Linked DNA regions of Daphnia pulex. The protein of the gene in region 1 interacts with the protein of each later gene in a pairwise test. Links are inferred from orthologs where the notes say so. Each region holds a gene or a part of one and is shown in the gene's direction. Other genes may lie near its edges.

Evidence for each region. The genes of interacting proteins can lie anywhere in the genome.
Region 2: the proteins of pre-mRNA-splicing factor syf1 homolog (region 1) and peptidyl-prolyl cis-trans isomerase E-like interact in a two-hybrid assay, tested with the Caenorhabditis elegans proteins (2 studies listed by BioGRID). The link is inferred for Daphnia pulex from reciprocal best matches to the Caenorhabditis elegans genes syf-1 and cyn-13.

The regions. Positions count from the first base shown.
Region 1 is NC_060020.1:2,902,836-2,907,414, forward strand, and holds the start of pre-mRNA-splicing factor syf1 homolog, read left to right. Parts: upstream 1-1,584; 5' UTR 1,585-1,675; intron 1,676-1,736; 5' UTR 1,737-1,893; coding exon 1,894-1,935; intron 1,936-2,003; coding exon 2,004-2,152; intron 2,153-2,236; coding exon 2,237-2,360; intron 2,361-2,428; coding exon 2,429-2,853; intron 2,854-2,926; coding exon 2,927-3,059; intron 3,060-3,124; coding exon 3,125-3,514; intron 3,515-3,579; coding exon 3,580-3,765; intron 3,766-3,833; coding exon 3,834-4,493; intron 4,494-4,552; coding exon 4,553-4,579. Other genes in the region: pre-mRNA 3'-end-processing factor FIP1-like, read right to left, coding at 36-281, 370-582, 641-877, 944-1,152, 1,283-1,406, 1,471-1,557.
Region 2 is NC_060020.1:8,629,244-8,633,243, forward strand, and holds peptidyl-prolyl cis-trans isomerase E-like, read left to right. Parts: upstream 1-1,695; 5' UTR 1,696-1,994; coding exon 1,995-2,031; intron 2,032-2,095; coding exon 2,096-2,268; intron 2,269-2,345; coding exon 2,346-2,753; intron 2,754-2,812; coding exon 2,813-3,000; intron 3,001-3,064; coding exon 3,065-3,200; 3' UTR 3,201-3,286; downstream 3,287-4,000. Other genes in the region: uncharacterized protein LOC124191929, read right to left, coding at 3,369-3,502, 3,598-3,700, 3,778-4,000.

The DNA.
Region 1 (4,579 bases):
GTTTTGTTTTCTGTTATGGTCTTTAAAATCCTTACCGAAGATCCCCACTGTGAATCCTGAGTAGGTTCGTATTGGTAATAATCATCGCCAGGAGCTCCTGGGCCAGCCATGAACTCATTGGCGTAGGGATCAGGTACTATAGGTGGTGGTGGTAACATCATTGGTGGTGGAATTACTGGTGGCGGCATACCAAATGGAGGAGGTAGAGCCATATTTGGAAAACCAGGAGGAGGACGTGAGAAATCGATCGATACGGGAGGTTTCTCCACAGGAGCTTCAGGCTGATATTAAAATGAAATTTAAATAATAAACTTTAAAGTTTTTTGGTTGACTTTGGATGAATATTTTATTAAGGATACGGGGCCTTACCACTTCGGGAGGTTGCTCCTCCATAGAAGGAGCAGGTGAAACGCCTGATTCTGGTCGGCGTGAAGATAGATTCCCTCCACCAATGACATCAATGGCACCAGCCATTTTGCGTGCTGGCGGAGGGCCTGCTTTTTTCACAACCACTGACCCCGCATATTTTGAATTTTCGTTAACCACTGATATCGGAATCGCTTGGGCCGGGGTCGCCATCATCTGAATCAAAAAATAATAATATCGTCTTTGAGCTTCATTTGTTTACGTATTTTATTACCTTGGGTGGGGGTCCTAATCCAAGGCTAGCCGGAACACCAGCCCCAGACTCCATACGGGATCGCCTTTGTCTCTCACAATATGCTTGCCACGTTATTTCATTGAAACCGTAATTAAAATAATCAGTGATATCAGCACCAGGCTTCCTCCAAGGTTTATCTTCCAGCGAATCCAAACTAAATTCATGTGCTGGTACACCGTTAATCGCCATTGAGCCTTCGAACTCTTCCACAGTGAACTTAAGATAAGATACATATGTTAAAAACAAACTCTTGCATCAAACATGATGTAGCTCAATGTATACTTTGCTCTTTTCCCCCAATCCTTGTGCCGTTGTTCCAGCTGTTCCTCTTTTGACATTAAAACCAGCATAAGCTGCTGGGCCAGATTTTATGTCACCAATCGTGATTTGTACGTCATCATCACTTTCATCATCCTCATCGTCATCATTGTCTTGATCTTCATCTTGTCTCTCATCCTTTTCTTCGTTAGTCTCTGCAGCTTCTTCTGGATCTTTTACAATAGAAAATACAGGATGTTAAAACTGTTATGGGAAAACCAGACAAGCGATTCAACACAGGGAAAGAGACAAGGGATAATAGTTGAAGAACTTTTCCATAATTAAAAATGTACATGAAATTACCATAGCCTTCTCCAGCGTATTCCGTATTTCCGTCATTTCTGTCTATGGCAATATGATCTTCATTTTCGATTTCGTACATTTCTCCATTACCGGTGGTGTCTTGGTCGATTTTTCCATCATCGCCCTGAAAAAAAAAGAGACAAGTATCAATTTCAGTTGACGAACAATAATTTTTTTTTTAAACTCACGTATTCATCTGGTAACTGTTCCGAGGAATAAGGGAATTGTGAATTAGAATTATCTGCCTCATCTGGGTGCCGGACAGTGTCGGCCATATTCGGTTGTAAACAGCAGAAGACCCCACTTCAATTTAGGCCTGAGGGGACAAACAACAGCGAATGTACGCTTGTGGCTTGTCGGCTGTCGCTGTTTCACATCAAACGCAAAAATAAGGTATTTTTACTATAAAAACTTGTGATAATCCATTTTTATAATGATCTCGTTATATAAAAAGACGCTATTAGGGACAAAATTCAACTTTAATTTGGGTTAGACGTAAGTGTGCAACTTGGCAACACTTCACCCGGCAGACGTGCATTTACGTTTGGTTCGTAAATTTATTTGTTAAATTTTATTTGAGCCGAGTGGCTGCGAGAAAATTCATAAACAAAATGGATAAAAGTATAGGGAAGAAAACTGGAGACATTGTTTTGGTAATAATACATTGTTTTATATTGAAGTTGACTAATAGGTTTTAACAATATGTCTTCTGTCTTTAAAGTGTGAAGAAGATTTAGCGTATGAAGAGGAGATTCTACGGAACCCTTACTCTGTCAAACATTGGCTTCGCTATTGCGAGTTCAAAAAGGATGCCCCTCCTGTTGTTGTCAATTTGATTTATGAGAGAGCTTTGAAGGAAATGCCTGGCAGGTTCGTTTGATTGGTTCTTGTAGTAGTACATAGTAAATAAGTTTGTACTCATTTTCAACTATCCACATGTTTGTCTCTTCACAGTTACAAACTATGGTACAGTTATCTCTGCCTAAGAAGGAAGCAAACTAAAGGTCGCTGTATAACAGATCCACTGTATGAAGATGCCAACAATACTTTTGAAAGAGCATTGGTATTCATGCACAAGGTATCTTAAATGCCAATTATATTATTATCACACATTATTAAATACCATGTTTTTAATGAATACCATAGATGCCAAGGATTTGGATGGACTATTGCAAGTTTCTGACTCTTCAACAGAAGATTACCACTACGAGAAAGGTCTTTGACCGTGCTCTAAGAGCCTTGCCAATCACCCAGCATTCCAGAATTTGGCCCCTCTACTTGAAGTTTGTTAAAATGCATCCAATACCAGAAACAGCTGTTCGAGTTTTCCGTCGTTTTCTTAAACTATCGACCGAAGATGCAGAGGAATTTGTCGATTACTTAAAATCTATTGACAGACTTGATGAGGCAGCTGTTAAACTTGCCCAGATTGTGAACAAGGACAGCTTTGTTTCGAAGACAGGAAAATCAAACCACCAACTGTGGAATGAACTGTGCGAACTTAATTCGAAAAATCCCAAGCAAATTAAAAGTCTTAACGTGGATGCAATCATTCGAGGAGGTCTTCGACGGTGAGTGTCTGGAAAAAAATTAAATGCAAATATTTTTACAAACATAGGAATAATTTACTGGATTCTTATGTAGGTACACTGATCAACTTGGCCAGCTTTGGAATTCCCTTGCCGATTACTATATTAGAAGTGGTTTGTTTGAAAGAGCAAGAGATATTTACGAAGAAGCCATTCAGACAGTTACTACAGTACGAGACTTCACACAGGTAAAATACTTTGTGGTCGTCTTATTTAATGCGAATCAAGTTAACGTTTTTCTGATTTACGACAGGTGTTTGATGCCTATGCCCAGTTTGAAGAGTTGAATTTGAATCATATGATGGAAGAGATTGGTCAGAAACCTAATCCTACAGAAGACGATGATATTGAAGTTGAGTTGAGGATGGCCCGCTTTGAGGATTTAATGGATCGCCGGCCCTTGCTATTGAATTCTGTTCTTTTACGTCAAAACCCCCATAATGTCGCCGAGTGGCATAAACGAGTCCAGCTTTATGAGGGCAAACCTCATGAAGTTATCAATACTTTTACCGAGGCTGTCCAGACAGTCGATCCAAAGCAGGCCATTGGAAAGGTGCACACGCTGTGGGTCGACTTTGCCAAATTTTATGAGAAAAATGATCAGATTGACGATTCACGGATAGTTTTCGAAAAAGCTACGCATGTAAGTTGTTTTTGCAGTGCATTAAAAGCCTTTGATCCCCTCATCATTTTTGTGTCACTTTAAAGGTGAAATACGTGAAAGTTGATGAACTGGCGACTGTTTGGTGCGAGTGGGCCGAGATGGAGATCCGAAATTCTCATTTCCAAGAAGCTCTCAAGTTAATGCACCGTGTTACAACTCCTCCTGCACGCAAAATTAATTACCATGATGACGCCGAACAAGTGCAAACACGTGTTCATAAGTCACTGAAGGTATTTTATATTTTTAGCCACTTCCATTCTAATGATCTCTCTACGATTGTCACATTTTTATTTTCTAGATTTGGGGTTTGTACGCTGATCTTGAAGAAAGCTTTGGTACTTTCAAAACATGCAAGGCCGTGTATGACCGTATCCTCGAGTTGAAAATTGCAACACCGCAAATCATTATGAACTATGCCATCTTTTTGGAGGAAAATAACTACTTTGAAGAAGCTTTTAAAGCTTACGAACGTGGCGTTGCTCTTTTCAAATGGCCCAACGTGTACGACATCTGGAACACCTATCTCTCAAAGTTTTTGAAACGCTACGGCGGCTCAAAATTGGAACGAGCTCGAGATCTCTTTGAACAGTGTCTTGAGGGATGTCCGAATAAGTTTGCCAAGACTTTCTTTATGCTCTACGCTAAACTCGAAGAGGAACACGGCTTAGCCCGTCACGCTATGAACGTTTACGAGAGAGCCACCAAAGCTGTGCCAGCAAATGAGCGCTTTGACATGTACAATATGTACATAAAGAAGGCATCCGAGATTTATGGTGTGACCAAGACGCGCCACATCTATGAACGATCCATCGAAGAGCTACCCGATCACCAGGCTAGGGAAATGTGTTTGCGATTTGCCGATTTGGAGCGCAAATTGGGAGAAATTGACAGAGCCCGTGCTGTATACGGACATTGCAGCCAAATGTGCGACCCCAGAGTTGCGCCTGAATTTTGGAAGGTATCTTATCTTTTATTCAATTCCGTCCTAGAAAGTTATTCACCCATCATTTTTTTTAGGTTTGGAAAGAGTTTGAAATTCGCCAT
Region 2 (4,000 bases), about 5.7 Mb from region 1:
ACATTATTTTCTCTTGAAGAAAGCTGGGCAGGACAGCTATTTCTTGGCTTTTACACAATCCACCAACTGAGAAGCTCTTTGGTAATGTTGAAATGTATGAAGAGTACAGTCCATTAAACTTGGAGTTCAAAATGAAGAAAGTTAGACATTCTGCTGTAGTCATACTGAACTGTAGTAAGTCAGGAATCTCTGCCAAAACTTTTTCTTTAGTGATAAGAAGACTTTGGGGGATCTGGACTAGCAGATGGTTAGGAGCTATGTTAGACATAGCCATGAGACCTCGTCCAGTGCTATTAAACAGAGCTGGCTTTGTAACTAAACAATTTTTTGACACAGCATTCCAACCATTCGCACTCATCCATTTACAAAGTTCAACGAATTCTGAATGTGAATCAATCCGAAGTGGGCGAGAATGCACAATTCGAACCAACCTGTTTCGGATTCTAGATGTTCGTCCCATGTTTTTTTATAATGGAAATATATTTAATTTAACACCACAACTTTATACCACATTCATATTCTCACAGTTTTTCAATAAACTCACGGCGGTTTTCTTTTCGAATAGAGATGAAACAATTGGTTAAAATGAAATTTACGGCTGCTTACACTTGACTTCAAATCTTACTGAGTTTACACTTTACACATTTTGTTTACATCAGAGTGATCAGACGACTATGAGTTGACAGTGACAGGAATAGGGACGGGTGGGTTGAATCCGAAGTGGCTAGTCCGCTTTCATATGTATGGTTTGAGATGTAGCCCTTTACGCACCAGGAAGTGCTTGATTTCTAGTACATCTTTTGGATCCTAGGGCAAAATGCACGCCACTAGAGGCGCTATGCCCACGAAGTGAACGAACTAATGCTTGTCGCTTGACAGCTCTTTTTATACTAAATGCTATCCAGCACTCCCTAATGCATTAAAAAGGACGTTGCCTTCCCCCAAGCCTAGAGAGTAGAGACGTAGCAGTAGATACGTCTAAATAATTTTTTTACTTGACATAAATCATTTTCTATGATAGCCTAGCCTTAAGCCCTTAACTTTCCAAATTAATTAAAAAGAAAACCGTTATTCGTACGCAGGTACACTATCCCTTAACGGAAGTGTGAAAAAACAGGTTCGGTTTTAATTGAATAACTGAAACGCTATTCATCACAAAGAGAAAGATTTGAAAATAAATGCGGAACTTGCATTTGAGACAACCAGACGTCAACGAAAAAGAAGTGCGCGTTATTAAGATCTACCTCTAAAATTTATGCGATCTCTTTTGTCGTTAAAGAAAATCGGCCCAAATATTATATATTTTGAGATAAAATCCGCGGGTTAATGTCAATGGATTTATTAGATCCAATTCCTTGTTGTAGTTATTATATACCAGAGAGATGTATATTTTTCCTATATCACTGGCAAAACCAACAGTCAGATTCACGTCGATGTCCGTTAAATTTTTCTTAAATTTTTGGTTTAGTGCTTTAGTCTCAATTTTAAAAAAATTCCGCGATCCTCCCATCAGATACCTTAAAGTAGCAGCGAAGAAGCAACAAGTTTACTAGTTTTGGAGTAGCCTTTTTATTTTGCGTTTATTTGAATTTATTTTGATTCAAATAAAATAATCTGATGGGCTATTTGAATTTGGAAAAATCTCCAAAAAGTCGCTAAAAAGCGGAACAGCCACTTTGGTTCTAGCTCTACTGATCGTATAACGAAGCGAAACATGCTGTCTGCAGTCTCTGCACTCTGACGAACGTGTTTGACTGTTTGCCCACGCCAGTTTTCAGTTTGATTAGTCTGCAACCTGTGAATCGGTATTTTATTATTGTCCTCACTGTGCATAATAATAAGGAAGGTTTAGACAGTGATATTTATATATTACTCATTAGCTTATGGGGATGCTTTGAACATTGAGAATTTCAATACTTTACGTAAAGTTTTTGAACACGTAACCTCGATTCTTGATAATCTTTCTTGTGGTGCATTCAAATTTGTGCCGCAACATGTCATCTAACAATGCCAAGCGAAACATCTATGTCGGTAAGATCAAATAACATATTTCAGTCTTACGAAATGTAATGCTTACTGTGATTCATTTTAACAGGTGGCCTTCCTGATGAGGCAGATGAATCAGTAGTGCGTGCAGCCTTTATTCCTTTCGGAGAAATTGTTAATATAGAAATACCTCCAGATTATGAAAATCATGAAAAACATAGAGGTTTCTCTTTTATTGAGTATGAACTAGCTGAAGATGCTGCTGCCGCAATTGATAACATGGTATTCTCACAATTTCTTACAGTTTATCTAGTAAACAAATATTTAATTACTTGCCATCATGGATGCCTTTCTTTCAGAATGATTCTGAGTTGTTTGGCAAAACAATTACTGTAAACATTGCAAGACCTCGGAAAATTAAGGAAGGATATTCTAGACCAGTTTGGTCAGAGGATTCTTGGTTGCAAAAATATGCTGGAAAGACAGAAGAAAATAAAAATCCAGTGGAGGAAAACAATAAGGAATCAACTGAAGGGAAAGACAATGTTTCTGAATCTGAAACTAAGTCAGCAGTTTCTAAAAAGCCTCGCGGCAACCCTCAAGTGTACATGGATCTTAAAGCTGGAAAAATCAATTTGGGCAGAATAATTATTTTATTGAGAGCTGATGTCGCCCCTAAAACATCTGAAAATTTTCTTGCTCTCTGCACTCATGAAAAAGGTTATGGATTCATGAATTCCAGTTTTCATCGTATTATTCCAGGATTTGTAAGCGGAAAGCTCAGTTTTAATCAATATTTATTTTTATTAACGTTCTTTTGCAAAAGATGTGTCAAGGTGGTGATTTTACTAACGGTGATGGAACCGGTGGTCGATCAATTTTCGGTGGAAACGGGAAATTCGAAGACGAAAATTTTACGTTGAAGCACAACGGTCCTGGTATTCTGTCTATGGCGAATTCAGGCCCAAATTCAAATGGATCCCAATTTTTTCTAACCCTTGACAAAGCAGAATGGTAGGTTTTTTCCCTGTTAAAATATCATAGTTATAATGCTAATAGCACCTTTATGTTTTCAAAGGTTGGATAACAAGCACGTCGTATTTGGTCAACTTCTTGCCGGCCTAGATGTTTTACGTAAAGTGGAGAAGTACGGAACAAAGTCTGGTAAACCGACTGACAAAGTCATTATGTCCGCCTGTGGAGAACTATTGTAACACATGAATAAAAGAAGCTTTTTTTTAACTACATTGTTTAATGACCAATGTCTTGTGCTCATGAAAAATATAAACAAACAAATTGATTGGACTACAGTATATTCCAACCCTCTTCCCTCCCGGAAAAAAACAAAAAAACAAAAGAAAAACATTAACGTCATGGGTCCTTTAATTTTCGTTGAGATTTTCATATTGATTGATCCAGCTATGAATCAAATCTTGGATGTAATTGTCTTGCAGGTCTTTGGGTATCCGCGGTCCCGGATAATTCAATTCTTTATTTAATGCGCCTGTTAGTTCATCTAAACAAGTAAAATAATTGGTATGTTTACAGGAAATTCCCAAGTTTGACATTTTTTAGACACTGTAAGGTATTTGAATGAAAAAAGATATTTACTAATATTCATATTAGGCCACAAATCTTGCTTCTGATTCATAATGGGAATTTCATTGGATATACGGCCAAAAGGTTCCTCCCCAACCATTGCCGCCCGACCAGACTTCGAAAGATATATATATTTTTTTTTAAGTTTAGAAATAATTATCTGATTTTTTACGTCTACTGTGGACTACACACCTCCGTGGAAATATCCTTGCGCCTACCCAAACGAGGAACCGCCTTTGATGCCTTCAGAAAAAAATTAGAGAGACTTCCTTCGTGAGGAAAAGATTCTGAATTCATGTATTCAGCGATGATTCCTTCACCTCGTCGGCCGATTCGAGGAATCTTTTGTCGAAACCTATTATAATTCGGATTAAACGGTTCCGGGCTGGGATCTGATAAGGCAGACGCCAGCAGT